Canis lupus familiaris: one gene and its partner. The protein of the gene in region 1 purifies or fractionates together with the protein of each later gene. This does not show direct contact. Links are inferred from orthologs where the notes say so. Each region holds a gene or a part of one and is shown on either strand. Other genes may lie near its edges.

Region 1 (3,954 bases):
CCGTCCCCGGCCCCGCCCCGCCAGCGGCCCAGCCACCGCCTCAGCGGACGTGGCGCAACCGGGGAGGACCGGGACCCCGCCGCTTCCGCTCTGCCCGCCGACTTCCGGCCGACGTCCGGCCGACTTCCGGACTAGGGGGGCGGGCCTTAAGTGCCGAGGACGCGTGACAGACGCCGCCAGCGGCCAATGGCGCGGAGGGCGGGGCCGGGTCCCGCTCCGGGCGTCCCCGCTTTCCCCCGCGGGCCTGGCTGCTGGGGTCGCCGCGGGTCCCCGCCCCAGGCGTTGCCGAGGGGACGCGGTGGAGGCCAGGGCCTGGAAGACGCAAGGGTGACGCACTCCGAAGGGAAGCGAAGCCAGACGGGGGCCGGGAGTGTGGGGGCAGCAGAGGCCGTAGCGGCCGGTGCCTCTTGCCTTGGTCCCGGCGCCGCGGGAACGGAGGCGGCCCACAAAGGCTGGCTGCACGGCGGGCACCGCTGCGACCACACACACGGGAGAGGGAGCTCAGTCCAGGCCACACACCTGGGACGTGGCTGCCGGTGATCCTGACCCTCCCCGCCCTCCCCTGGAGCTCAGGGACATGTTTGCGTCCCCGCCGCGGCCACCGAACGACCTTCCCCCGGATCCCTTCTTATCGTCCGGCCTCAGCAGAAATGCTACTTCCGCACATCCCTTTGCAGCCCACTTTATTCGCCACAGCGCTGAGACCGCTGCCCGTGGCTCCTTGCCCTCACGTGCGAGCTCACGCTCCCAGAGGGCCGGGAACCAGCGGTCGGCGGGTCCCGGGGCCGCAAAGTCCTTCCCACTTCGCTTTTCCCCCGGACTTGCACTGGTGCTAGGCATCTAGGGGGGCGTGCGTGGGAAGGTGAGTGGGTCCCCGTTAGCTTCGGAGGCCGCTCAGCTCCGAGGTCGAAAAATCACCTAGTAGGACCTTTGAAACTCGCGCTCACTCCCCGGCAAAACACTCAAGTCCCAGCCAGCTGATCCAGGTCTCGCCCCCTTAATGAACCTACAGCCCTGGCCCCGCCCCGCGGCGCGCGCTCCCAGTCCCGGCATGCCGCGCGCGCAGCCCTGGCCCCGCCCCGCGCGCTCCCAGTCCCGGCCTGCCCCGCGCGCAGCCCTGGCCCCGCCCCGCCCCGCCCCGCCCCGCGCGCTCCCAGTCCCGGCCTGCCCCGCGCGCCCAGTCGGGGCGGAGCGGCGGAACTCCGCCCGGAGCCGGGAAGCAGCTCCCCTTCCCGCCGGCTCGGCGCGGGATCCCGGAGGCGCCATGGATCCCCGGGTGGTTGCGGATGCCGTGGAAGCGGGCGAGGAGGACGTGATCATGGAGGCTCTGCGCACGTACAACCGGGAGGTGAGCGCGAGCCGTGAACGTGCTTGCACGGAAGAGGTGGGCCGGGCGGGGCTCGCGTGTGCGGACCCGGGCCTGCGGGCTGCGGGCGGCGGGCGGCGGGCGGCGCGCGGCGGAGGGGCCGGGGTCTGCGCGCACCTTGGGGGACGGGGAGAGGCGGGGGGGGTGCGGGCGCCCGCGGCGGCCGAGCCCGCTGAGCCTCCCCGTCTCTGCAGAACTCCCAGAGCTTCACGTTTGACGACGCCCAGCAGGAGGACCGGAAGGTGGGTGCGGACCGAGGGCAGGGGGCGGGGGCGCGTGGCCCCGGGGTAGGGGGCCTGCTGGAGCCGCTCTTCTTCCCGCCCACAGAGGCTGGCGGAGCTGCTGGTCTCGGTCCTGGAGCAGGGCTTGCCACCCCCCCGCCGCGTCACCTGGCTGCAGAGCATCCGCATCCTGTCCAGGGACCGAAGCTGCCTGGACCCTTTCACCAGCCGCCAGAGCCTGCAGGCCCTTGCCTGCTATGCCGGCATCGCCTTGGAGGGGTCTGGCCCGGAGCCTCTGGACATGGACGTTGTCCTCGAGTCCCTGAAGTGCCTGTGCAACCTCGTGCTGAGCAGCCCGGTGGCACAGGTGCTGGCAGCAGAGGCCCGCCTGGTGGTGAGGCTCGCAGAGCGCGTGGGGCTGTATCGCAAGAGTAGCTTTCCACACGACATCCAGTTCTTTGATCTGCGCCTCCTCTTCTTGCTCACGGCACTTCGCACTGACGTTAGGCAGCAGCTGTTTCAGGAATTGCGGGGAGTGCACCTGCTGACTGATGCGCTGGAGCTGACCCTGGGAATGAGCCCTGACGAGAACCCCCCGGAGCTTCTTCCTCCCCAGGAGACCGAGCGGGCCATGGAGATCCTCAAAGTGCTCTTCAATATCACCTTCGACTCCATCAAGAGGGAGGTAGACGAGGTGAGGACTGACTTGAGCCCACAGGTAGGGCTTAACGGTGTGGACACTTGCTGGCTCTGTTTGCCTATAGCGAACTCGTAGGTTCCAGGTATCAGACGGGGAGAGGACGGGAAGAGCTCTCAGCCTATTGGGAGGAGGCAGGGAGCTGTACATCATGTACAGGGGCCTTCAGAGACTGTCTGAGAAAGGCAGAGGGCATACCTGGCACTTGCAGCCTGGTAGGAGGGCTGTTTGGTACATGGAGAGGTCACGAGCAGGACACTAGAGTAGGTTGTGATTTTTATCCCAGGAAGACCTGGTAATGGTCTTGGTTAAGGAAATGCTTTCAAGGCTACGTGGGGGAGGACGAGGGGTTGGGCACACAGTAGAGAAAATGCATAGTCCGTGCATGTGATCCCAGAGTGGGGCCTCCTCTCACAGGAACCCCTTTCTTTTTGGTCAGGAAGATGCGGCCCTTTATCGGCACCTGGGGACCATTCTGCGGCACTGTGTGATGGTCGCTGCTGCTGGAGACCGCACAGAGGAGTTCCACGGGTGAGGGTGGGGCCCGTTCAATGGAAGGGAAGTGTGCTCAGGGGTCTAGACAGTAGTTCTCACCCTGGCTGTCGGCTAGGCTTCCCCCTGGAGAGGCTTCACCTACAGGGGTGGGATTTCCATCAGTGTGTGTCTATGGTAAGGGGCTAGGACAAGAGAAACGAATCCAAGAACGGTATCTGTGTCTGCAGTGGAGTTAGTAGTAACCAACCACGTGGTAGTTAGCGAGTAACTGCTGAGTTCTGTTTCGGCGACTTGTGCCTGGGCAGGTTCTGGCGCTCCAGAGATTGTCCGCGGGGCTTCAACCCAGACGGAGCGTGCCCCCTTTCTTAGGAACTCACCCCACCGACTATGTGGGAACATCTCTAGGGTCAGTCTCACCCTCAGTACCGGCCCCTGGTTCTGGTCATCAAATCCCTAGATGCTAGTTCAAGTCACATGCGGCCTCTTTAGGGGGCAGCAAGGCTTGTACTTATGCTGGGGGGTCGGACCTATCAAGCCCTCCTCCTGATCTGTCCTCAGCCACACAGTGAATCTCCTGGGGAACTTGCCCCTCAAGTGTCTGGACGTCCTCCTTACCCTGGAGCCACACAAAGGCTCCCTGGAGTTCCTGGGAGCGAACATGGATGTGATTCACGTCCTTCTCAGCTTCCTGGAGAAGCGTCTGCACCAGGTGGGCAGAGGGACCTGACCTGTGGGGTCCTCAGTGGCTCTGACTTTCCCAAGCAGCCTTGATCACTGCTTTTTTTACGGTCACACTGGTAAGCAGAGTGTGATTCAGGCCATTTCTCCAGCTGCTTCGTGGTCCAGTTTGGCAGAAAACCAGATTCTACCTCCCTCAGAAACACGTGGCCCCTCTCACACGCACACACTTGAAGGTTTTACCTGTGCTGGTTATCTTGACGGGTTTTCAGAGTCAACAGCGGAGTTTGTGTCTTAGAGCTGTTTGTGGCTGTCTCTAGAATCCTTGCCTGTGCCGTCAGAGCACTAGCATTGCTGTGTGCAGGCAGCCCTCGGGACGAGTGACACTTGTCTCTTGGCATCCCTTGGGGAACCCACCACCACCTCGAGCCAGAGGCTGCCTGGTTCCCATGCCTGCACACAGGACGTTGGCCAGCTAGACCTCCAACCAGCCCCTC
Region 2 (4,073 bases), on another chromosome or scaffold:
CCTCCTTAACTAATTTAATTAGAATTTGAAACACTCTGACTTCATAGTCCACCTTGTTAATCACTATACTAAACTGCATCTCTCCAAAAGAGAAAATACAATACACCTATTGTGTGCCAGGAGAGACAAAGGTAACCAAATACATCCCAACTTAGACAAGTTGGTTAGTTCACAGAGATGAAGTAAAAACTTGCATGTACATCAAAGGACGTATTCTATAGCAAAAAAAAAGGTTATCTGTATATTGTGATGAGTGTGTTCTGCTTACTGAAAATAAGGGGTAACTTTAACTTCTGTGCATTATGATATGGTTCAAGCAAGAGCATCTGTGTTTGCAACTATTTATATTTGTTGACTTGCTCAAGAATATTAAAAAATCTTACTTAAAACAATGAAATTGATAAAAATTAAAAGCAAATGTCTTAGTACTTTGATTTTTACTTACTGTTTTTGAAGTTCGCTAAGTCATGTGTTTAATTTTGTTTTTAATTAAATGCACTATTTATAAAATCCCAAATAAAGATTTTTTTCCAGACATTTGCTTGCCTAAATTCTCCCTGCCAAATCCTGCCATTTGGAAGAAAACCTCACAGTTTACAACTGTACTACAATAGGCTAATGTCCTGAGGAGATCTCTGATGGTCAATGTAATTCAAAACATTTACAGAAAATGAAAATACACCTTTAATTTCATAACCAATCAATCAATACAGACATTAATGCCTTGAGTATTATATAATGGTTTGTATTAAGCATCCGAAAGAGCCCCAAGAGCAATGTCCAACATTAGGTGGTTCATGCTAGTAAATATGTAAGAAGCACCTACTATGTGCCATGGACCATGCTCATCCACAAATGATACTTGTTAAACAGAGAGTGGCAGTCTAGAACTACAATTCAAATTCTTGTGTTATGAATATCACGTTAGATATTCAAACCAAAAGCTCAAGCTCCAATGCATAACTTTCTTCCTATATCCAAAGAGTTATTCCTAGGGCTTCTGCAATCTACAAACCACTAAATATGCTAACATGAAGAGACTAGCATGGGCACCCAGCACAACCCGGAGTACAAAATAAGCCTTGGGTTATGGTGGTGTACTCTGTCCTCTGGAGCTTTACACCATGAAAATTTGGCACTTCTCCTAACGTGACTTGTTTTTCCCAAAAATTGTTTTAAAAAAGAAAAAAAGGGGGGGGGGGCGCTTTGTTGCTTACAAAAACTATTACTCCTACATATTCTTCTCTAACAGAACTTTAGAAAATACTAATAGTAAAGAAACAGTGACAACTAATTAGTAAGCTGATGCCAGGGTACTTTATATGACTTACTGAGCCTCTAGAAACTGGTCTCAAAAATGCTTAAAAATCATGCTGAGTGGGACGCCCAGGTGGCTCACCGGTTGAGCGTCTGCCTTCGGCCCAGGCGGTGATCCCGGGGTTCTGGGATCGAGTCCCACGTCGGGCTCCCTGAATGGAGCCTGCTTCTCCCTCTGCCTGTGTCTCTGCCTCTCTGTGTGTGTGTCTCTCATGAATAAATACATAAAATCTTTGAAAAAAAATCATGCTGAGTAAAACGCATCTGACTGTACCTAAAAGCTGCTCATAAAGAATGTGGGGTAAAAAAAAAACAGTAATTTCTGAAGCCAATATTTTTAGTTTGGAGAGACAGCTCACCAGAAGTTTGTCACAGCTTTTATAGTGTGTCCAATTCCATAATCTATCCTAAGATAACTCCATTCCCACTGCACATCATCCCTAGCAACTATTCAGCAACTCCCAATATGTAATCTACTGTCCACTGTATCTTTGACCACAAACCTCAAACCAGCCAGTCCTTAAATTTCCTCGGCTCACAAAACCTCCCCCTTTATATAGACAAGAGGAGTTACAAAAACTTTCAGAGAGTAAAAGTGACATAAGGCGGTGAAAAAGTATACACAGCCCGTGCACGCAAGCTCTTCTCCTTTGTATCCAAGAACGTGTCATGGATCCCAATCACACACCTTCGCACTCCTGGTTAATCCAGGGTTCCTCTGCCTTATCAATAGTTGAAAACGCCCACGTGCTAATAAAGGAGAGTCCTTACACCTCCACTCAGTCTCAGACCCTGTTTACATTACTCATTCGCGCATCCCAACTCCATCCGGTCGAGGTATCGCTCCAACTCCTAAGCCATCACACGAGCCTCACCCACACTCTCCCGTCCTCTTCGCTATCAACACGCTCCAACTCCCTGCAAAGCCTTCCCTACCATCAGCTCTCCCTTCATGAGTCTTTCCCGGGTCCCCAACACAGCCTCCACGTCCTCCTGCCCAGCGCCGACTCCAGCACGGAGTCACGCCCTCCCCGCAGCCTTATTCCTACAACCCCAAACCCCACCCCTTCCTCGCGCCCGCCGGGCCTCCCGCCCCACGGCCGTCACGCCCCCAGATCCCTCCGGGGTCCTTCCAGCCGGCCGGGCCTCCCCCCTCAGGGCTGCCGAGCGCCGGGGCCTCCCGCCCCCCCGCCGGCTCCGCCAGCCCCGCCCTCAGCCCCTCACCAAGGAGCAGCAGCTTCACTTCTTTGGCCGCTTTCTCCCCGTCCTCCCGCAAGTTGCGGTCGATCATCTTGCTCCGCTCCACCGCCGCCTTGTCCTCGGCGCTCAACGTGCAGCCCATGGCGGCGGCGGGAGAGGGACCGAGGCCGGGCTCACTCACACACCGCAGAGACTGCGGCTCGGCGGGCGCAGACGGCGTCTACTGCTGGGCGGCGGCCCTCTCCGTCAGCTCCTTGAGCGCCCGAAGCAACCGGATATCCGGCGCGTACGACACTTCCGGCGACGCCCCACGGCGGTGACTGCTCCGCGTCTCCCGCTGGGGCCGAGGAGGAGCGATCGAAGGCGGAAGTGCGGTGCCCGGCGGGCGAGGCGTCGGCCAGCCCCGGGGACGCCGCTAGGCTTACAGCTTCTTCTCCTTCTCGGCTGCTTTATTTGGATAAATGTAGAAGAACCAGGGACTGGCTTCCCCAGTTCGTGGCGCCCTCCTGAGTCCCAGCCGGCCTTGGAGGGCGGCGGAGTTCCCAGGAAGAGTCCGCTCCCCGCACGGAAGTTCCTGCTGAGGGCTTCTCCCCGGCCTGGAAGCCCCTGTGGCCCCAGGCTGTGGGGAGCCCGAGCGCCCTCCCGAGGGTGCCCTGTCGAGCTGTGTCGGCCCGGCCGCGGTGGGAGCTCGCCGCGCACCCTACCCCCCGCGCCTGCGCCCCCCCGGGGCCCGCCGCTGCCCCGGTGGGACCGCCCTCCTGGACGATCCGGTGCTTGTGCTGCTACCTGCGGCTTGCGCGGTGCCCGCGCCACGTCTCTCCAGTGTGAGCCAGTTGGGCGCGGATAGAGAGGATCCTGCGTTAGGCGCCTCGGACTCCTACCAAAATCAGTTAACCTCAGGCCCACGCCCCAAAACACACCAGCGCATCCTGTCAATCTCCCCGCTGAAATCTCCTGTTGTAGTACCACACAAAAAGGGAAGTTCTGGTAGATTTGTCTTTCAGCTCCTGCGTCACCTGAAAACAAACCTCTATGAAAGCCCTCGACTTTTCACTCCTAGTTCTGAGTACTACCTTCAAAGTGACTCTGAATTACCTTGATGGCTAAATAGCTGCACAAATACCCTCCACCCTACATTCTAGAGATGAGAACTCTTGTGGTCCCCCAAACCTTTGCCTGGGATTAAAAATTATTTCCCTAATAGAATCTCAACCTTAGCGTATAAGATCCAAACAGAAAGGTCTATATGGCGATGATTCATTCATTAGAGGGATTTCTTGAGAGCCACCTTAAACAACTTCATCCCCTATAATTTAGTAATGCCAGTCCTTCAAAGTTTGAAGAGACTCCTACTCATTCCCAAATGACTGTTACAATAAGAATGATGGCTTTCCCGTAATCGGTACTTATGGGAGAGGAGGGCAAGAAGAAAGGGAAGAAAATCCAGTATTTATGGAGCACCTATTTGCCAGGTATGGCTAGGTGCTTCCACGTGCTCATCTCTTAACCCTCACAACAACCTGGGAGGTAGGTAATATCACCCCCATTTTTTTTCA

What was found. Proteins that work in one complex are often made in the same cells at the same time.
Region 2: the proteins of RIC8A (region 1) and GNAI3 purify together in Homo sapiens (affinity purification with mass spectrometry; 3 studies listed by BioGRID and IntAct, counting the BioPlex papers as one, with this or other methods). This does not show direct contact. The link is inferred for Canis lupus familiaris from reciprocal best matches to the Homo sapiens genes RIC8A and GNAI3.

Annotation. Positions count from the first base shown.
Region 1 is NC_049239.1:25,714,060-25,718,013, forward strand, and holds the start of RIC8A (synembryn-A), read left to right. Parts: upstream 1-1,154; 5' UTR 1,155-1,264; coding exon 1,265-1,348; intron 1,349-1,560; coding exon 1,561-1,608; intron 1,609-1,693; coding exon 1,694-2,281; intron 2,282-2,723; coding exon 2,724-2,815; intron 2,816-3,337; coding exon 3,338-3,488; intron 3,489-3,954.
Region 2 is NC_049227.1:42,768,914-42,772,986, forward strand, and holds the start of GNAI3 (guanine nucleotide-binding protein G(i) subunit alpha), read right to left. Parts: upstream 2,801-4,073; 5' UTR 2,660-2,800; coding exon 2,542-2,659; intron 2,325-2,541; exon of another isoform or gene 2,254-2,324; intron 1-2,253. UniProt on the Homo sapiens protein: Heterotrimeric guanine nucleotide-binding proteins (G proteins) function as transducers downstream of G protein-coupled receptors (GPCRs) in numerous signaling cascades.